Linked DNA regions of Arabidopsis thaliana. The protein of the gene in region 1 interacts with the protein of each later gene in a pairwise test. Each region holds a gene or a part of one and is shown on either strand. Other genes may lie near its edges. The genes, in order: MYB112, AT1G03350, AT1G35490 and AT5G18450.

What was found.
Region 2: the proteins of MYB112 (region 1) and AT1G03350 interact in a two-hybrid assay, tested with the Arabidopsis thaliana proteins (one large-scale study listed by BioGRID).
Region 3: the proteins of MYB112 (region 1) and AT1G35490 interact in a two-hybrid assay, tested with the Arabidopsis thaliana proteins (one large-scale study listed by BioGRID).
Region 4: the proteins of MYB112 (region 1) and AT5G18450 interact in a two-hybrid assay, tested with the Arabidopsis thaliana proteins (one large-scale study listed by BioGRID).

Annotation. Positions count from the first base shown.
Region 1 is NC_003070.9:17,702,882-17,709,126, reverse strand, and holds MYB112 (myb domain protein 112), read left to right. Parts: upstream 1-2,666; 5' UTR 2,667-2,749; coding exon 2,750-2,942; intron 2,943-3,780; coding exon 3,781-3,910; intron 3,911-4,449; coding exon 4,450-4,858; 3' UTR 4,859-4,995; downstream 4,996-6,245.
Region 2 is NC_003070.9:821,290-827,027, forward strand, and holds AT1G03350 (BSD domain-containing protein), read right to left. Parts: upstream 3,122-5,738; 5' UTR 2,958-3,121; coding exon 1,545-2,957; 3' UTR 1,293-1,544; downstream 1-1,292. Other genes in the region: RRP4 (ribosomal RNA processing 4), read left to right, coding at 3,364-3,524, 3,602-3,703, 3,813-3,858, 3,964-4,053, 4,133-4,198, 4,298-4,366, 4,456-4,890.
Region 3 is NC_003070.9:13,059,062-13,064,965, reverse strand, and holds AT1G35490 (bZIP family transcription factor), read right to left. Parts: upstream 3,418-5,904; 5' UTR 3,214-3,417; intron 3,121-3,213; 5' UTR 3,111-3,120; coding exon 2,581-3,110; intron 2,367-2,580; coding exon 2,291-2,366; intron 2,187-2,290; coding exon 2,060-2,186; intron 1,970-2,059; coding exon 1,800-1,969; 3' UTR 1,511-1,799; downstream 1-1,510.
Region 4 is NC_003076.8:6,114,339-6,119,155, reverse strand, and holds AT5G18450 (Integrase-type DNA-binding superfamily protein), read left to right. Parts: upstream 1-2,114; 5' UTR 2,115-2,135; coding exon 2,136-3,059; 3' UTR 3,060-3,132; downstream 3,133-4,817. Other genes in the region: NUFIP (GATA zinc finger protein), read right to left, coding at 3,408-3,914, 4,294-4,353, 4,445-4,535, 4,727-4,796. UniProt on the Arabidopsis thaliana protein: Transcriptional activator that binds specifically to the DNA sequence 5'-[AG]CCGAC-3'.

The DNA.
Region 1 (6,245 bases):
TCTGTTAGTAATGCTTTTACTATAAAATTTCAGAAAGTAAGGTTAGTAATAATTCTTCATTCTGTTTTATGTTCTTTAAGTCGACTCCTAAAACTAAAAAACTTAATCTTCTTGGTGTAACAAAGTTTTTGATCAACTATGCGTCACGAAATTTCTTAAACATAAGCATGCAATTCAAATCACTCGTTAAAAGCACGACTGATCCTCATTCATAAAAAATTATACCGAATATTCAGAACTTTCTATTATTGCACTTACCAATTTTGATGCCGCCCTCAAAGCTTTGGCAACAAAGGACAATGTCACCTTAAATGTTAAGAGTCTCAGCAGCGATAACCGATGAAGACACATGTAAAGACGATTTGTCAAGTGTTATATCTAGTCCACAATTTTAAAAGAAGATTTCTAATATGAAAATCTGTCGGCCATAGTTTTGGTTATTTCTAAAATATTACCTAAACATAATAAAATATTATAAATCGATATATTGTTTTATGGATTAAAGAAAAAAAAAACAAATTTCCTTTTCATTATTTTGTCAAAACTGTATAACATGGCAAAAGGTATGGCAAAGAAAACTATCAAAAACGATAAAACCATGGCAAATACTCCACTAATAACATATCAATCATAGGTAATGCAATTTTGTTTTCTCTTTTTTTTTTAACTACGTATAATGGTGTTAAAACTTTTTTTGTTTTTTTTTTTTGGAAAACTTTTGACCTAGTGTAAAGTTTGGCAAAAATGGTTTGATCTAAAACTAGTTTCATCGAGATTTTACATTTTGTAGAACTCTGATTCGGCTTTAATGAGTTTATGGTTAGAGACATGGGTTAGGTTAAGCTTTACTCGATTTAGAGTTTTGAGGTTCGCTGCATCTTGCTTTCATGCTATCAAAGCATTTTTATATTGTTACATTCTCTTGAGTCTTTTTTTTGTTTTGTAATCCTTTTCTATTTCTAATTAAAAAAACTAAAATTTATAGCTAAAACCATTAAAAAAAAGTAACCAAGAGTTCCGAAACTAAAGAAAACCCAAAAAAGTTAGTAACTTCAAAAAATTTAACTAGTTTCTTTCATCAATCTGTATTTATATATGTTCTAACTTTTTTTATCAAAACCAAACCGAATCTAAACCGTAAGTCAAAATAAATTAAACCAAAATTGCATCAAATTGAAATCATGACTAAAAATTACTCCTTTTGTCCCTTTTTATTGATTTTCTAGAAACAATCACAGATTAAGTAAACATATTGATTTAATTTTTGTGATTTAATTTTTTAATAATTCTAAACTAATGATATTCAATTATTTGTCTTGAAGTTTAAAATTCATCAATAATAACTAATAAATAGTGCATAGAAACCTAAAAAATCAATCTTTTTGAAACAATTTTGTTTCTCTAAAAATCAATTAATAAAGAATAGGGGGAGTATTATTTTTGAAGTATACTTTAAAAAACACCTTTATTTTGATAAATATTAACAGAGAATGTCATTACTTATATTCATGTATTCAAATAACTTTACTATTAATTTTTATTATCCGTATAACCAAATCAATTGATTGTTTTTAACATTAACTATAAAATTTGAAATATACATATAATGTTCCAAAATTAGTAATACATATTAAAAGATTGTGTTAAGAATTAAAATAATGATTCGCAATCATCTTTGTTTGATTTTGTTTTCTATTTGTTTTGAATCATCATATAAAGTTAATAATAAACTATTTTCTACCTATATTCTGATTCAAAATTTTAGAATTAGACATATATATTACTTAAATAATAAAAAAGTGTGTTCAACGTCTCAATTTCACATGGGCTAAAATGTTTAGAAAATGATTAAGAGTCATGTTATAAATAAATCTAAATCTAAATAAACAAGAAGTTTAACTTAACAAGTATCTAAATTTAAAAGTTTGTATATGGTTTAATTCTGTTTTTAATTGAACTGTTTAATTTTACTGGATATAGTAAATTTTAAGCTTTGAAAGTTTTGAAATATTATAATTGATATATTTAAACTCAGTATAAAGTTTAAAATAAAATGAATATATATAAAAGTCTAAAATAACGCAGTACATGTTATATTTTGAGACTGGGTATATGAAAAATGAGTTTAAATCGACATTAAAAAAATTAAAAGTATCATTAACCGACATTATAATACGGTGAAATTCTCATTTTATTATTTGATTAACATCACTAATATTAAATATGTAGAATTACACTAATTTAGTTAAGATTATGTGAAAACAAAATTGTCCCGTGTTATATTGAGGGTTAAATTCTAGTTTGGTTTAATAAAAGGAAACCTGAATCAAAACTAAACAAAATTATATACTACAGAAAAAAGGGTTTGTTGCATCAACTAAATTATATCGATAAATAAATGATGTTAATTTAAATTACTTCTTCGGTTACTTTTACTTACTTGATAGCTTATCCAACTCTTAACTATAGCATGTGCTTAAGGAGAAACTAAGAACTCTTATACTATTACTTAGAAATTATTATTTTGCGAAAATTCCACTAATATCTTCGGGTAATAATTTATCTATTAACATGCCGATTTCAAATGCTTGGTATTTATTTATAATATATACAAAACAAAACAAAAAAAAATCTATAAAACCCACCCTGAAAACTCGATCACTTTATGTCCATTCCGAGAACTCTCTCCCTCATTAATTAAAATCTTTCTCAGAGCAATCTTCTCACAAGTTTCTAAGAATCTCAAAGCATGAATATAAGTAGAACAGAATTCGCAAACTGTAAAACCCTTATAAATCATAAAGAAGAAGTCGAAGAAGTCGAGAAAAAGATGGAAATAGAAATAAGGAGAGGTCCATGGACTGTGGAAGAAGACATGAAGCTCGTCAGTTACATTTCTCTTCACGGTGAAGGAAGATGGAACTCCCTCTCTCGTTCTGCTGGTAACTTCTTAAGCCTTTTGCATATATATATACAGAATATGTGATCATGCATGATATATAATATGTAATGCGTAAATCGATCGATTCAGATCAATTGAAGTCATCATAACAAATCCTTATATGCCCATATCATATCTCTAGAGTGATTGTTAAACTATCATTGATTTGAATGGTTAAAGTTTGGTATTGAAGGATTCTTTATATGTCAAACAAGTAGTCCGTTTTTGTTTTTTAAACATTTAGACTGAAACTTTTTTTTTTCTTATTAGAAATTCGTTTTGGATTTTGTGGATTTTAATATGATCATGTGAAGTTTAGTTTAGAGTTTATTTATAACTAACTGAAATTAAATGGAGTAGATATAAAAACTCGTCCACATCTTATCAATATGTTATTCAATTTCTATCACATCATATGTGAGTGATATACATATATGAATGTGATTTTTCGTAACTATGAGAATACTTTTCTTATGGCTGTGACTTCTCCATGTCGGCATAATTTAAATTCCTCTGTAGAATTGGTAAAGTAAGAAAGAACAAGTTGACATATTCATAGTTCATTATTATCATTAAAAGTGTACTTTCGTATGAAACAGTTTGGTCGGTCCAAATTTATTTATTTTTTCCTTTGGAGTTCTTTTCATATTAGCCTTTTGAGTGTGGAACTCAAACACCTTTCCCAACCATCCAATTCCATACAGCCTCATGGAATTGTTATCTTTATTGATTTGGGAAATTGTACTAGTGTCCATATACTATTGACTAGTGTACATTCCAGTTAATTCATGTTTTTATACTAATTGTATTTATATTGAAATCATTTACTATTGAGACAGGACTGAATAGAACGGGGAAAAGTTGCAGATTGCGGTGGCTAAATTATCTCCGGCCGGATATCCGCCGTGGAGACATATCCCTTCAAGAACAATTTATCATCCTTGAACTCCATTCTCGTTGGGGAAATCGGTATGAAACCTTTATTTATATCGACATAGACATAGTCATATTGTCGATACATTACTTAAAATAGAAAAAGGGACACATATCGTTGAAGAGAGCAAATTTGGAACGTCTCTATGAAATAAATAACTCGTTATTCAATATTGTATTAGTAGATAATTGACAAAATCAATTTGATGCGTATTTGAAATTTCTTGGTTGAATTGTGGTTACTATATGAAACTTGTATCATAGTTGAAATTAAGGTACACATCAACGTCTTTTTTTATCAGAGTAACACTAAAAAAACTGATTAATCTAGTACTACAATAGAACTTATAAATAATTAAACCCTCCGATTCATTATAAATAATATTTTTAGCAAGAGTCGGTTTTAACAAAAACAATTAATATACGTACAAAAAGTATATTAGAAATTTAATATATTTTTTGTATGTATAAATGATTCTAATAAAAAACGGAATGAGAGTTTAATTACGATGTTCTATAAAATTAATCGTGTTTTTAATAATGGAGTTAGTTTTGATATTTTTTCTATTGTGAAGGTGGTCAAAGATTGCTCAACATTTACCGGGAAGAACAGATAACGAGATAAAGAATTATTGGAGAACACGTGTTCAAAAGCATGCAAAACTTCTAAAATGTGACGTGAACAGCAAGCAATTCAAAGACACCATCAAACATCTCTGGATGCCTCGTCTCATCGAGAGAATCGCCGCCACTCAAAGTGTCCAATTTACCTCTAACCACTACTCGCCTGAGAACTCCAGCGTCGCCACCGCCACGTCATCAACGTCGTCGTCTGAGGCTGTGAGATCGAGTTTCTACGGTGGTGATCAGGTGGAATTTGGAACGTTGGATCATATGACAAATGGTGGTTATTGGTTCAACGGCGGAGATACGTTTGAAACTTTGTGTAGTTTTGACGAGCTCAACAAGTGGCTCATACAGTAGGCATTTCATGGGTTTATTAATGAATGTAATGTATAATAAACATAAACTAATCATTCAAAACAAAATTAAAGGTTTTCCGGGTTTTTTTCCATTTTTTTATTGGTTTAATTTTATTGTGATGTATGATTTTACAAAACAAAAAAAAAACTGCTTAATTAATAATATCAAAAACATATATATTGTTACACAGAAGCATGATTTAGATAAGACTATAAGAGCAAAGAAGAGAAAAACAACAACATGAGTTTAGCAAAAAGTTTATGTGGTTCCTGGTTCATTTAATAACTCCCATACGATCACTTATAATCTACCATATATGATCATCAATTAAGTTTTATAATATCACCGCATTATTAAAAACATTATGAGTATTTGATAACATATCCCAAAGAAATTCATTACATACTTATTTAACTAATGGGTTGAAATAGAGATTGATGCATGATGTGTATATGAAGTGAACATCAAATAATTATTTTACTCTAAATAAATTATTAATTTGGATTTGGCCCTCTCATCTAAACTCAGAGTTGAAGTGTTCATGAAATCTTGCATGCTCGAGACAATGAGACATATTGCTTAGAGCACTTAAAGATGGTATCAACTCTTAAAAATATGCAAGTAAAATTTCGTCGTCTCAAATATCATTTTTTAAAAATAAAAAAAAAACTTTAGTTACATACATGTTGAATTCTCTAAATCGGTTATGTAGTTTGTGGTGCTATTATTGTTTTGGAAATTTCTAGTTTGTAGGGCCTATATTTTCTTGTTTGGCTAACCAATAATATCGTTAGTTTCATTTAAAATCACATATTAATTTAGTTTGTATAATCATTAATAGTTTAACTAAAAGAAAAGGACGTGAATGATGTCTCCAATTCCTAATCATGATTAAGATACTATTAGTTACTCCAACTCATGTAACACTTTATCGAGATTATATACGTCCAGAGGGGACGAACCCAAATAAGTTACTCTAGTTAAACTTTTAAATAAATTATTTCTCAGTGTTTTTTTCCACTACGTCGAGTAAGGAGGATCACAGATTCACCCGAACCCTATTTTATAATCAAAGTATTAATTGTTTTATTTGTTAGAATATATTAAATTAATCATCGAACACGTCTATAGACTAAATGGAAACAATCCAAAAATATCAAACAATGCATGGTCGATTTTTATTCTAAACTTATCTTTTCAATATTCTCTTTATAAGAAAAAAGCAGAACAATAGTAATTGAATTGGAGTGAAAAAAGGAATGAATTGGCATTACAATTTTGTAAATGGAATACTGGCCTTTCACACACGAATATCTTTGCTTTGTTGGATTATAGAATCATTGATTTTGGCTTTGATAACTATATTATATATTGACGTTGATTGTTG
Region 2 (5,738 bases), about 17 Mb from region 1:
TTAATTTGTCAATGTTAGGTTGTAGAATAAAGTGAAGATATCACACTGGGAGAAGCTTTTCTTTTAAAACACTAATCTCTCGTTTATTTGATATAAACTCTCAAAGTAGTAGAAATCTCATGAGAGATGAATCTTTAGATACTAGAGAACAGTTGTGTTTTTTCGTTTGAAGAACTTTTAAATCTGCTATAGCGACTTAGCTCATCACTTTTGATACCACACCGGCTCCAACTGTTCTACCTCCTTCCCTTAGAGCAAATCTTTGACCCGTTAAAATCGCAAAATAGAAACAACTTGGATTACTCAAGAAACAACTTGCTTTCTCGCCTTGAAATGGTGATTGGGGTTTAAGTGAGGGTTAATTACTCACGCGAGGGTTTCTCTTGGATCCATCCAGATCCTTTTCTATCCTTTTCTGTGTTCTTCTTACCAGTAAATTCTCAAAGGACGTCGATTGTGGTTTTACACTAATAGTTTCACATCGATTCGTTGCATTATTAAAATCCAATCATAAAATTTCTATTTATACATGCACACATACGGTACATGTTCAATTGAAACATTTTCCCTAACTAGACATGCCAATAAATAATAAGTTGGTTTGGTCCAAAAAATAAAATAATAAGTAAAATTCTACAAAACAAATGGTACAGTTTTGTTAATAACTAGATATTCATCCGGGTACACAACGTATTTATATTTTTGTTAACAAGTTAAAGATTTTATTTTAGTTAATAGTATTTATAAATGATAAACATATTAAGAAGTACACAACGAGCCTATATTTTTCTCAAAAATTTTTATTTTTTTGTTTTAAAGATGATTTATAGATATATGCTATTGCTTTTTTTTATGTATGATACATCTCGAAATGATTTATATAACTAAATTTCTGAAATTTTAAGTTATTTTTTGTATTAATATTGTAAATTTTGTTTAATTTTAGAATTTTACCATAGTATATCATTCCGTATTAATATTGATCCAAACCGTCTCACCATATATCCTAGTTCTGTGAAATTAAACATCATTTTGTCATTTTCTTATAAAGTTCAAATCTATATAATATTTGAAACTTCAAAAAAGTTTTAAATATATTGTATTATATCGTCCCGTATTAATATATTTTTAAATATATATATTATATAAAACTTCATAAGAGTTTTAAAATTATAAATATTAAAACGTTTTAAGAAGTTTTAATTTTAAAAGTTTTACAATTTGTAATATTTAACTTTTTTGGTTCTTCACAAAGGACAGAAATTGAGATTAATTTTGACACAATTAAAGCTCCGAATTCGCAGGGGTCAGTTGATTGATATACTCAAAATAACTGGAGAGAATGACTATCGCAAGATGAATATATTCAAACTTTCCTCAAACCACCTTCTCAAGTAAAATTTAAAAACATATTTTCAAATCAATGTAAAATAGAAACGTTGAAGAGAAAAACAACTGAAGAATGGGGGCAAAGCGCCAGAAACTTGTAAAAACAAGTAAAAGGATTGGCAAAAGTAAGAAAGCACACCACTTTAAAACTAACATTAAGCTTTGGATGATGATGATTCTTCTTCGTCATCTTCATCAATGTCCCAACTTAAATCTTCATCTTCCTCTGCAGCACTCAGACGTTTACGCAGCTCAGCTCTGTTTGGACTACCACCAGACCGACTCGTTTCCTTACCATCTATGCTACTCATATCCTCGATCTCGTCCCATCCCAAATCCTCTTCAGATGGTTGTTGAGTTGATGAAGAAGCAGCCACATCTGGTTTAGCTGAGTCTTGGGATGGAGCAGCCTCATCAGATTTTGGTTTGACAGAATCTTGGATTGGAGCCTCATCAGATGTTGGTTTGACAGAATCTTGGATTGGAGCCTCATCAGACGCAGGAGGAGCAGCATCAACAAATGATTTTTCTTCTGGAACTTCCTCACTATCAGTCTCCTTCTTTTCCTCAGAATCTTTATCTGTCTTCAAACCAACATTGCTCACTTCAGTCACTGAATCTGCACTTGTCACTTCATCTTGCGTGCTCACTTTAGCCACTGAATATGTACTTTCCACTTCATCTTTCACAGTTTCACTCACATCTCCACCACCCATACCATCATTCCCTTCAAGTTTCAACCTTGAAACATCTTTGGTAGCTTCAACAACTTTCTCGCTGCTCTCCTCTTCATCATCAATATCCCAGCTCAATTCTTCTTCATCATCCAGAGAGATGGCTCGTTTCACAAGATTAGCCCTTAAATCCTCAGCTTGCTTGAGCTTGTTAACCCTATAGAAATACCTAAACCAGAAGGTCTCGTGATCAACCATACTCGGAACGACCCTTTTATACACTCCTTTCATATCACCATTTTCCTCCAACAATTTCTCCATCTCCTCAGCTTTTCCATCCAGAGAAAACGCAGATTCCCACTTTTTGTAATCATCTGAATCCTCAGGCTCTTCACAGTAAGTGTTGAGATCTCCTTGAACAGCACGAATCTGAGCATCGAAACGACTATATGGTTTCGAACTGAAGCTATCACGACGACCAAAACTCTGACTACTATTGTTATCAGAAGAATCAGATTCATTACCAGCGGCTAAAATCGCTTCCTTACCTTGAGCAATAATCTCAGCCGTACCTTTTAGCACCGTGTTCCCAAGCTCATCAATCGCATGTCCCACCGTACCAAGCGATCCCTGAGCCACCTCGATCTCTTTCTTCAAACCTGTGCCAAATTCTTCGAGATCTCGTCGGTAGGTTTCAATCACGGATTCGGATCTGGTGGCTAGAGTTTTCATCAGACCACCGAAGCTCCATCCACCGTCGTCGTTAGATTCAGATTGCTCTGGATGTTCTTGCTCTGGATGTTCATGCTCTTCGCTGTGTTTCGGTGAATCGGATTCGGATTCGGTTTCTGGAGGATCTAGGTCTTCCGTGAAGACGGATTTGAAGAAATTCATAGCGTAAAGCTCAGATCTTACCAATCGGTACTCTCAGATAATTTGTTTGATCCGTGAAAGAATCAATTTGAAGAGTGAAGGATTCGAATTAGCGTCAGAAATAGGAAGATCACAAAAGACTTGAAGCTTGTCGCTGCAGAGACGTCTAATTTTTTTCCCATTTTTTTAATGAAGATAAATAATACTTTATTTGGCGTCAATTATCAGATTAATGGGCCAGAAGTTTTATAAATGGGCCAGAAGTTGGATATGTTAGTCCAACAAATAACACAAAACCCTAGAATTCATTCAAGGGAACTAACGTCAAGGTTTTTGCTCTTCTTCTCTCCCAAGTCCCAAACTCGTTTTGCATCGCCATTGTTGTGTTGCTGGAGCTAAATAGAGAGAAAGAGAGAGAGTGTCTGTGATGGTGATGAGAAAGCTACAGTTACCGTTGAGCCAGACGCAGAAGGTTAGGTTTGAGAGAGCAATCGAGCGGCTTCAATCACTGTCGTCGTCGGCTAACTCTGACGCTTCTGTTATCGTCACCGACTCTATTCCCGTCAACCATGACGATGCCTTCCTCAAGTAATTTCATCTCATTCTCCCTTCTGGATTGAAATTTTTGTCAAATTGCGTTTTCACGATTGGTTTTTTCATTAAAGGGGACATGGAACTTCCGAGGTCGATGGTGAGTTGCTCGCGACGGTCTGTGGAGTAGTGGAGCGTGTGGATAAGCTTGTCTATGTACGCACCTTGCGAGCCAGGTCTGTGATTGATCTTTGAATTTGTTTAGTTTCCCAGAAAATGTGAATAGAATGGACTCTCTACTCTGAGATTAAGTAGAACTGATGGTTTTGATGATCTACGTTTTAGGTACAAGCCTGAAGTTGGGGATATTGTGGTAGGCCGTGTCATTGAGGTAGATTTTTGTTTTGGTGTTTGGATTTTTGAAATCGGATTGAGTGAGTAACATAAAGGTTTCAATCACATTGCACAGTTACTGGATTGATCTTTACTTATTCAGGTTGCTCAAAAACGTTGGAGAGTGGAGCTCAACTTCAATCAGGATGGAGTACTGATGCTTTCTTCCATGAACATGCCTGATGGTATTCAGGTACAGTTTGATTCTTGATATTTTGCCATTTGGATGATTGCTTTTGGCTTCAATGATATAAGTTTATTGTTGTTGCCAGAGGCGAAGAACCTCTGTGGATGAACTCAATATGCGGAATATCTTTGTAGAGCATGATGTCGTATGTGTAAGTCCTGTGATTAGTAATGTTCCAATCTTTACATATCTTAACAGTTACGTCAACCTGACTAAAAGGGTTCCCTCTTTGGTTTGTTCAAACTCTTAGGCTGAAGTACGCAACTTTCAGCATGATGGTAGCTTGCAGTTACAAGCCAGAAGTCAGAAGTATGGCAAGGTTGGTTCTCATTTGGTCACATGCTCATGTAGTTATACCTTTCGCTAGTCTCTTCCTCTGAACATTGATTAATCCATGAATCGCTACAGCTCGAGAAGGGACAACTTCTGAAGGTCGATCCTTACTTGGTTAAGAGAAGCAAACATCACTTTCATTACGTAGAAAGTCTTGGGATTGATTTGATTATTGGCTGCAATGGTTTCATATGGGTTGGAGAACATGTCGAAGTGAGAGATCCTATGGCAATAGATGATCAGAAAGATGAGGAAATGATCTCATCCTCCTCCACAGGAAAAGAGCAAAGCCATATTCCACTCGAGACTCGACAAACCATATGCAGAATCGGGAATGCGATACGTGTCTTGTCTAATCTAGGCTTCACCGTGACACTAGAAGTAATCATGGAGACTGTTAACCTCAGTAACTCAAAGAATATTGACATACATGATATGCTTGGATCAGAGTTTCACGTTGTGGTAGCAGAGAATGAAGCTGAAAGAAGACGTACAAAGAGGAAAAAGTGAAAACTACCCCTTTTTGTCACTGATGTATCAGAGACTTGTAACGTGTATTAGATCATTCGGTCTTGTTTGTTACTCAGCTTCTATTGAAAGTTCGAATTTTAATCTGATTGAGATATGTAGTATGATGGATGTGTTTGATACTATTAACTGTACATCAGATTAGATTAGTCGAGTTATGTCTTTTGGAGACGGCTTTCTTCTTTCATTCATGAATTTATCGGTTTCGACTTTTGTAGCTGAAATTCGTTTTGTGAAAGGATCTACAGTTGCAGAAACAACATAGAAAAGATTCGCTGCCCTTTTTAGCTCGGAGAAGGGATAATTGGGAAATGACTAAAATACCCTCATGAGAATCCAAGTAATAACAGCGATTACCAAACCTCTTCTCTCATTCACGAAACAGTGTTCTACGGCCAATTTCTCTCGCTCGCTCCACACTCCCAAAACAATATTCTTCTTCTTCGATTTCTCACTCTCTGTTTGTCGCTACCGATCTTATTTCCCGCTATTTTTGTTCCGGCGCCGTTCTCCTTAAAGTCGCTATTGTCTTCGTTGAAGGTCAGTTTACGGCCTTTTTTAAATCCATTTTGGTGTATTCGTGATTGTTTGTGGGTTGAATGATCGTGCGATTATTTGGGGTTTTTAATTAATTTCGATTCAGTAACGGTTCTGAATTGCATTGCGATTAAGCACTTAATCAGAAAGTAGTACGCTTTAGATTTGAGGAATCTCTGTACATTTACTAGGCAAAAAGTTTACTTTTTTTTTTTGGCGTATTTCTGGGATTGCATTAGTTAGGCGATTGAATCACGTTTCTGAAAGCTACAACTAGGAGATGAAATCATCTC
Region 3 (5,904 bases), 4.6 Mb from region 1:
TCATTTATTTTCAGTTTATAAAATGAATCAAATTTTATATTACAATATATGCTTTAATATATTTATTAAAAAATTAATTACGTAAAATTTTAAATATTTGAAACCCTAATTATTTTCCCAATCCACATTTTTCGTTTTAAGTTTGCAATTGTACAAAATAATTATCACTCCCTAAAACTTTATTTTTTGATTTTTATTAAATTTTGTTCTTTTTCTGACAAAAATAAATTGTACATCTATTAATCTAATATTGCTCATTCAAATAATATTAACAAAATGCTCAAATTTAGGCTATTAAAATAAAAAAAGTTAGTCAAAAGCACAAGTATATCAATCCCAAATTATGATTAAACTAAATATTTATTTATAATAATTTTTACCAAAACAATAACATTATATATATTAAAAAATTTGAAGTACCTTTTTAAAGTACTTTTGTGTTAGTAAAGTAACAATTTAGAAAGAATATCATCACATTAAAGACAAAGACAATTCTTATTTTTTAAATATTATTATTGATATATCTTAAATTTTTAAACATTATTAATATTTAAACTTAAAAAAAAATAAAACATCATGAGACGAGAAATATATTTTAACTTTATAAAATATTATTAATATTTAAACTTATAAAAAATTTAAAATATCATGAGATGAGAAATATAGCGGAATGAGTTTGAATTGATATGAAATATAGCGGGACGGGTTTGGATTCATATAACACAGATTAAATATTTATTTTATTATTTTATCATCACTAAATTTTTTAGTTACAACATTAATATAAAATTATATAACTTTAATACTAAATTAAAACCGTAAAATTTAATATTATTAAATATGAATAAAACATTTGCCCCGTGGTATACCACGGGTTAAATTCTAGTTAGAGTTATATATTCGGAGATTATTTAGATTTGAGAATTTTTCCTAATCTAATAGAAAAAATATATGAACAAATTGGTTAATTTTTGTAACTTAGGGTTAGAAACTAAACAAAATAACAAATGATACTGCAAATCAGTTATTGAAAGTCTAAATAATACGCAATACAATCTTTCTTAATCGTTGTCAAATTTGTAAAGTTTGTATATATAGTATCTCAACTTGAAGTTCTCCCGACGATGCTGAAAGACCATTTAAAAATAAATATATATATATATATATATAATGTATGTAGCCATAAAATCTTTTAAAAGATATGGATGAGAATTATATTTCATATCAGTTTTTTTACTTACTATGATTAATATGCATTTTTTGAGATGGAGGGTAAAATTAAAATACAATGGCGGCTTAAAGGATTTTTTTTTTTACTGTTGCATAAACCCAACAAATTACTATGTTTTCGTAAATTCATTTTTTAAATATTAATCTTAATTTTCATATTATCTTGACTGGTGTATAAAATAGTATACAGAATATTTATATATATATATATATATATATATATATTTTTTTTTTCCTTTTATTACTAGAATCGGTCACAACTTGTATATATATAGATAAAGGAAATTGTCAAAAAAATTACTTATTCATATATATAATAGATGAAATAAGAAGGATTACAAGTTATTACATAACATGAAGTTTCTTGACAAGAGATTCTCTACCATGCCATAAATAGAGAGAAATGCAATAGAGGAGGATATGGGCAACCACATTTTGATTTACATAACGATGCTTTTTTAGGTTTTCATTCAAGGCTACAAACATCAAGTTCACCTATGTTGTATGGACATTAAGGTAGAGCAAGAGGAGCTCAGCTTAATCTGAACAATGTATCCATATTTCCTAAATCATATTGCCAAGGCTGCAAATTGGGCATCGGGTTCTTGTGTAACAGGTGGTTGATATTTGTTGTATCGATTTTGTATTGCTTGGACTTGTTTTTGGTTTTGCTGTGGTTGTTGTTGGTGTCGTCGAAACTGTAGGTTTCCTATCTCTCTCTCAAGCAATTGCTGCTCCACTGTATTAACCAACCAAAATCAAAATTTTACAAGAGAACAAAATAAATGCATTTTGATCCATTTTAGTAGTGATATGAAAGGTTAAATACCATGTTTAAGCTTTTGGATTTCTGCTAAACTATCCATACGTTGTTTTAAAGCTCTATTTTCCATGCTAAGCATGAGTAACTGCTGATCCAAGTAGTGAATGGCAGATGACATTTCACATCCTTCAACCTATTGAAGAAAATCCAACATGTATAATATAACATTAGGAATCTTTTCATATTATTAATGAAATTAAAGAACTTCGAGAAATACACGAGCCTTTAGAATCTTACTTGTAGCACTTGGATGGTCCTTTCAAGGTCTGATATGTACTCAAGCCTTCTCAAACGCGCTCGATGAGCATTTTGACTGCATTTTAATAATTTTCGATAAAATTGTATATTATTAAACCGCATCAGAAATATGTTTATCAACCTATATTAGGAATGTGGTCTAACTTATCCCAACAGTTAGCTCAAGAGTTAAGGATTGCCAGATAATGCCTAAAGATCTTAATCTCAATCGATGTGGGACATTTTAATAACCTATTATAAGTACACATGACAAAGATAAGACTACTTACTGTTTGATACGTTTTGAGTCAGTCTTTGATCTAGGACCATCTGGTTTTGTAGAAGTTCCTTCTTTCATTTTGCTTACATGTTTCTCAATGGGTTTCGACGACATATTTAAAGCTCCGCATGACATATTTCTTTGGATATTAGTTCCATTTGCTGTAGAGAAATCCCATCCTAATTTATTGTGTTGTTCATAAGAGTTGGACTGCCACAAATCATAGTTCTGGAACTGCCAAGACGAACCAGCAACATGATTTTCCTTCGAAGGCATTAAAGCTGAGTTCAAGTAAGCAGCTGTGTCACTAGCTGAACGTCTATGACCTTTGTTAATCTTAGGTGATGCTGGCTCACTTAGGAGCTCATCGAGCCAAGCTGGTTGGTCTTCTGTGAAAAGATCATCTAAAGAAGCACTATGGTGGTGCATATTATTAGGAGGAGAAATGTTATTTTCCATGTTTTTTTGGGGAACTCGTGATTGTGATCTTCCAATGAATCCGAAATTTCCCGGGTTTGACAACCTCCTTAAATTTTCCATTCTTCAAAACCTATAAGGTATGAGCAAAACATGTATAAGAAAACCATTATCATGTAATGACAAGAATTGAAGATACAGTTTCTTTAACATGCAAAGAACATACCTAAGAAGACGTACGAGATTAGGAGACGTGTGATTGTTAGACCTTCCACGGGGAGGAAAATGGCATAAGCTCCTCCCGTGTGGTTGGTTTCGATCACCTCTTCTCCTTAGAATGCAAAAAAAAAAAAAAACAAGAAACAATCTCTAGATCACTAAATAGAGGAAGATACCATATTGAAACAATCCATGTTGATGATTTACATTGCGTGGTTTTCGTGAAAACAACAATTCTTGTCCTTATGCTTTATTTGGTCTATTATTTTCTCAGTTATTTTTGCTTTTTCACTTTCCCATAATAGACTCCACCATTGGTTTATTCAGACTGGGTTTATTGGTACACAATACTACAAAAGCTTCGAGGAATTCTTTCATTTTTTATTCATCGAATTTGTATAGTAAGCTCCGTAATATTTTTATGTGATTTATCTACACGCTTCTAATAGATGCAAAATCAAAATATTACTCTCACTATCATATGAGATTGACAATGTAATGACGTGGGACAATTTCTTTCTTTTTTTAGTTAATAATCTTTTCTATTTACATAATTATAAAATTCTAATGTTATTATGAACTTATAAAGTACTAGATATACAATATATATATATATATATATATATATATATATATTTAAGAGAACTATAAAAAAATAAGGAGAAACTTTGTTAAATATTAAGAAATTGATATGTTCAAATGTTTAATAATTTGCACTTTAAACTCTAAAGCTGAAATTTAGTACGAAATGTTATCAGCTTTAATTTGATAAATAATTATAAGTGATAGTTTGCACTTTGTAGATTCTATACCATCTCTATACTATTATTTGAGAAATGTTGTTAGCAAAATAACTAGATGTTACTAGATTTTAATCCGCGGTATACCGCGGGACGATTTATTTTTTAAAAGTAATATATATTAAAACTTGCAAATTTTATTTTATAAAATATTTATATTTTACAATTTATAATTGTTATTAACTAACGCTATACCACGAATCCATGAGACAATTGTTAAAAAACTGAAGTTTTAACCCCTATTAAAACAGCATATTAATAATATTTTAAAATTTTATAAATATTAATTCAAATACATCCGCCATATAACTCAATTCTAAAATAAAACCCGTTCTGTAATTTCTTTACCCGTCCTGTGATTTTTTTTTAAGTAGTAATTTTTAAAATTTAAGAATTATTTTTTATATAAAAGTTTTGCAAATTGTATCATTTTCTAATACATTTATATTTTATAGTTTAATTTTATATATAGTAACATTATACATACCACATAACATTTTTTGTTTTATATAATCTTTTCTAAATTAGGATGATTTGATATGTTTAATATTAGTGGTCTTAGAAAATAATAAATTAAAGATTTAACCCGTATTGAAACGGTGGATTAATTATATTTTATTTTTTTTATTAATGTTGATTCAAAAACCCGTCTCTCTAAATCTGTCTTGCCAAAAAGCCATTTATTTATTAATATTATTTTTATTAATGATATGACTCTGAATTATAATCTAAACATTTTAGTTAATAACATAGGAGTGCACCATATTTATTTAATAGGGGAATGTACCATATGAGCCGAACGCACTTTTATCCAAATCCACCAAAAAAGTCTTGCAAAAATACTATAGAGATAAGAAACGATTGTCGGTTTTGATAGGTATAAGATTAGCAAATATATTTGTTAGCTTAAATTAGTTAAAGAATACAAATTGAAAAGGTATATTACACTTTATTCGAATATAGTATCAAAACTTATATAACACAGAGATTTGTTATTTTTTAATTGTTGAATATTTTTTTTTGTGCTAATTTTTATGTGATTAAGATTTAATTGATTTCGTAAATAAAATATTAAATTGTTTACGAACTTATTTGTTTATAATTTGGTAATAGATAGATATTTGAATATTCAGTATATTTTGCTTCAGTTTAGGAAATCTTTGATGACCCATCTCTAGATCCAATAAGCCCTATAATCTAGATATTAACCTGCAGTATACCGCAAGTAGCCTTATATTTTAGTTAAACTAAAAACTTTTATTGTAAAGATGATTTAAAAATATATGATATTATTTTATTTGATTTTAAATGTATAGTAAACTGTGAGTTGTATATGTTTTGTTGATATTATCTATATTGTTTAGTGTTTAAGATTATACACTTGTAGTTTGATTGTTAATTTAAGAGTTTGACATGTAGTATACCATCTTGTATTAATATCGATCTAAACCCGTTAATTCTAGGATTTTCCAGCTTGTATTAAAAATTGAATCACATCTAATATGTTATTAATTATTGTAGTATATAAGATTATAAATTTTCAATATAATATGTATGAAATTGAATAGAAATAATTCAAATTATGACCAGTTACTCAGTAGAAAGTTTTCTTAAATCTATTTTTCATCCGTTATAATTTTTTTCATGTATTGAACAGTTTATATTCGTTTTTAAAAATTCAAATTATGACATATGCGAAAAAACTCAAATTATTTTTTTATAATGATGATATTATTTTTCGGCAAAAATAGAATCATATAAAGATGAGAAGTGAACTATAATAATTAATAAAAAATTAATATGATAATTTAGATATCAAATCTAATTTGTTGATTTTAATTGGTTACTTTTTTGGAAATTAATAATGCATTTCATTTTTCTAATTAAATTAAATTAAT
Region 4 (4,817 bases), on another chromosome or scaffold:
ACACCTAATTTTGTAAACTCTCTTTATTTGACATCTTGTGCAATGGAAATAAACTAATTTTCAGTTTAAGAACTTCAATTATTATTGACCGTAAAGTGCAAAACATTTTTTAGTTATTAGTTAACTACTTTAATTTGTTTATGTAGAACGGATTGAGGACATTTTCTCCAAAAAGCAATGATCGAATGTTGATTAGTATAGTTAATTATGTGTACAGTGTAATTACACTGTGTGATCAACATACATTGATTCACGTAAGTTTTTTTTCAGCGAAAATTGTTAAGAATATTAAGAAATTCGAAGTTTTTTTCCAACTAGGGAAATAGATAATCCCATGTATGATTGAAACAAAAACAGAGGATTTAATAAGTAGTGGTGTAAAAACAGATACTTCGTGCCGAAGCACCTAATCAATGGTAGAGCCATGTGTTCCGAGTCGTTTGCCAGGCCACCCTCGATCTTGACACCTGGCATATGAACATGACATATTCCATTTTCGCATGTACGTAGACTTATATACTTCGCATTTATTTTGTTGTTTATCTTATATTATTACTCCTATCCAAAAACTAAACGGTGAAACTTATAATCTAAGTAAAACCTCGAAAACGAAAACCTAAGAATCGTATACAAAATCTGTAAGTATTACATATGGATATGACTCGAGCTATTTGGAGTGTGGTTTTATTCAGGTTTGTGTTGTAAATTTGTTAAGAAAAACAGTTTTCGGATGTTTCAAAAAAAAAAAAAAAAAAGAGAAAATAATAAATCAATTAATTATTGTTAAATCTAACATTCACTAAATATATTAATCTTTTTTTAATCAGTTTTTGTTTAAAAACTCACAAAAACTAATTTTAAAAGATATTATTTACATATCATGAAACAGTAGAATATAAATTTTTTGTGTCAGATTATCCATTTTTATATTTTGCATTAGGAAAAATTAATGATGAAAAGTTTATGAATTTTTATTACCGTTCTGAAAATCTTCCACATATATTAGTTTATTTTATATCTTTTAAAATTATAATTTTTTTAATTATGCATGTGTATTTATATATTAGGGAATTACCGTACAATCTCTATAAATTAATAATTGATAAATTAATAAACACGATAAATTAATAAATTTTGTTAGTCCCAAGTCGGACCAATGTAAAAATTAACCAAAATCGATAAGATAATAAGATAATATTTTTTTTTGAAATTTCTATGTAAAATTATAGTCTCAATAATATTATAAATTAATAATTATAGATCTTAAGAATATATTTTAAGACTAATTTTTATATGAAATTTTTGTTCAAATTATAATTACAACTCTTTTTAAAATACAACTCGTATGATTTATGTTTTACTCACATAACTATTTGCATATTTGATTCGTCATAATTGATTTTGTAAAATCTTTTATTTGAGAAAGCATTGGTAAGATTTGTGTAAAGAGAAATTGGATTAAGTTTCATGTTTGTGTTTACGTTCACGTTAATATCGTAGATATACAGATACAATATCTTACCGAAAAATAAATAAAAGAAGTCAAGGAAAAATAAAAATCTGACATAATAATATATGCAAACAACAAATCATATAGAAAATTAAATTAACAGACATTTTTTAAAAATTATAGTATTGTATTTTACGTAAATATTTCTATAAATTAATATTTAATATTTATATAATAAATTATAAATATTAATTTATAAGATAAATTAATATTACTATAAATTAATAAAATTTTATTGGTCCCAACATTATTAATTTATAAAGTTTCTACTCTATATGTTTTAAATAAACAAAAAAATCAAAAAATACATTGGATATATAACATAGTATCTCCTTAATTTTCACTTTTTAAGGAGAGGGGCTTAGAGAGAAACACAAACACGTGAGTCATCATCAAGACAGTGGTCGGGGGTCACTTTCGTGTAACACAGACATTAAATCAAATAAACAAAACGAGAGATCCTTTACCTTAGTGTATACACACAGAACACACGTACACACTCATATTTACATTTGCCACGTAAGAATACGTATACTCCTGACGTGTCCTGTATATATATACACACGCACACTTCAATTTTTCATTCACTAAACCAGATTTAATTTGAGACTCTCAAAGAAACACCATGGAAGAAGAGCAACCTCCGGCCAAGAAACGAAACATGGGGAGATCTAGAAAAGGTTGCATGAAAGGTAAAGGCGGTCCAGAGAACGCCACGTGTACTTTCCGTGGAGTTAGGCAACGGACTTGGGGTAAATGGGTGGCTGAGATCCGTGAGCCTAACCGTGGGACTCGTCTCTGGCTCGGCACGTTTAATACCTCGGTCGAGGCCGCCATGGCTTACGATGAAGCCGCTAAGAAACTCTATGGACACGAGGCTAAACTCAACTTGGTGCACCCACAACAACAACAACAAGTAGTAGTGAACAGAAACTTGTCTTTTTCTGGCCACGGGTCGGGTTCTTGGGCTTATAATAAGAAGCTCGATATGGTTCATGGGTTGGACCTTGGTCTCGGCCAGGCAAGTTGTTCACGAGGTTCTTGCTCAGAGAGATCGAGTTTTCTACAAGAAGATGATGATCATAGTCATAATCGATGTTCGTCTTCAAGTGGTTCGAATCTTTGTTGGTTATTACCTAAACAAAGTGATTCACAAGATCAAGAGACCGTTAATGCTACGACTAGTTATGGCGGTGAAGGCGGTGGTGGCTCTACGTTAACGTTTTCGACCAATTTGAAACCAAAGAATTTGATGAGTCAGAATTATGGATTATACAATGGAGCTTGGTCTAGGTTTCTTGTGGGGCAAGAAAAGAAGACGGAACATGACGTGTCATCGTCGTGTGGATCGTCGGACAACAAGGAGAGTATGTTGGTTCCTAGTTGCGGCGGAGAGAGGATGCATAGGCCGGAGTTGGAAGAGCGAACAGGATATTTGGAAATGGATGATCTTTTGGAGATTGATGATTTAGGTTTGTTGATTGGCAAAAATGGAGATTTCAAGAATTGGTGTTGTGAAGAGTTTCAACATCCATGGAATTGGTTCTGAGAGTTTTTATTTATTACTATTATTTATCATACATATTTCTTATATTTGACTTAGGATTGTTTATTTGTTATACATCAATCGTGGGATTTTTTGTTTTCTCCTTGCATGTAGTGCTTATGTGTGTAAATAGGTTTGGGCATAATGTGAATTTTCTTACACGTTTTGTAAAAACAAATTAATAGAGATGAAGCAAGTTTCGAATGTGACACTATTTTTACTCTCATGTTCCTTGTATCAGATTATTTATCTTACTGTTTCCTGCGGACATATCTTCAAAACGAAAACACATATAGATTAATATCACAAATCCTTATACTGCTCATGTGTCCGGTCTTACAAATTTAAACATCAAACATCTTCATCACATGAGCTATCATCGCCATCCACATCATCGCCATCACTAAGGCCATCACATAAACCTTCAATTGAGGGATCTTCCATAGCATCTTCACAGCCAGTTTCTTTTACTGTAATCAAAGGTAACTTCAGAGGTTGCTCTGGAAACTCCTTCAACAATGAATTCATTACCATGAAGCGGAAGACCTGTAATAACTGGCTTTTGTCTCTCTTTATGTCTGCGCTTAGGAGCTTCTCAAGCAATGTAGGTTTTCTAGTCGTTATGGAAGAATCTTGAGACGATTTTTTGTCTTCCAATCTTGGTTTCTTATTATCAAACTTATCTTTTCTGTCATGTCTTCTCTTATTACGTCTATTATTCTGGAATCGTCCCTTTCGCCCATTGTTGTTTCCTCTATCTCCATTAACTTGTTCATCATTATTGGATAAATAATGCGAAGGAACTTCTGCAACTTCAACACCTAACTCAGCCTGCTTTGCTAAAACTTCCCGGAGTTGCTGCAATGCCAATAGAAAAACCATGAATCCAATAACTTTTCATTACGCGTTACATATATGAGCATAGATGCTTTTTTCACCATCATAACCTTCTGGATATTTAACTTGAAGGTGTATTTTGTTAGGCCTGAACTTGAAAACAAAACAAAAACCATAAACTACTGAGATTTCAGTTTCATTATTGGCCAGCTGATCTTAAAGGTGTGACTTGAGCTTCATGAAGATTTACTAACTTATAATTTTAGTATTCATATTTATACACCATAGCAGATCAGCTATAGCTCCTATTCACCTTTTCCTAAAATAGTTTAAGTGGAATTTCTCAAATTGATCCTATATTTCTATTAATGCAGAGTGTCTAGACCAAAATAAAGGGTACCTGACGACGCATTTTTGCTTCCTCATCAAGGATGCTGGCTGAAACATTTTTCTTTACTTTCTGCAAACAGGTAATTTAGCATTCAAAATTTTCACCAAAGGAGTGAATTTCAACAAATTAAAGCTGGTGGGAGAGGGAGAGCGACTCTAACCTTTTCAACAAGGAATTTCGTTGGATAATTCTTACGTCGAGCTTCACGCCATTGCTGAACTTCTCTTGGTGTATACATCAAAGCATATGATCTTCTCTTGGAGAAAAACAACATCAAAAAAAAATATTAGAGATTGGCTGACATGATAACAAAAGATGTAATCCAGATTAAATCCCATTCAATACTACGACTTATAAGGATCACACTGCTTCATGAACGTGAAAATTTAGGGAGTCAAAATGCCTTAGGAACGAAAAGAAATTCAGTGACACCTAACACTACCTTTTCTTCTCCTTAGCTATGTTACCAGTATCAGATCCATCGAGCCCTGTTTTCATCTTATTATTGTTCCCTGTATATGAAGTCATATATG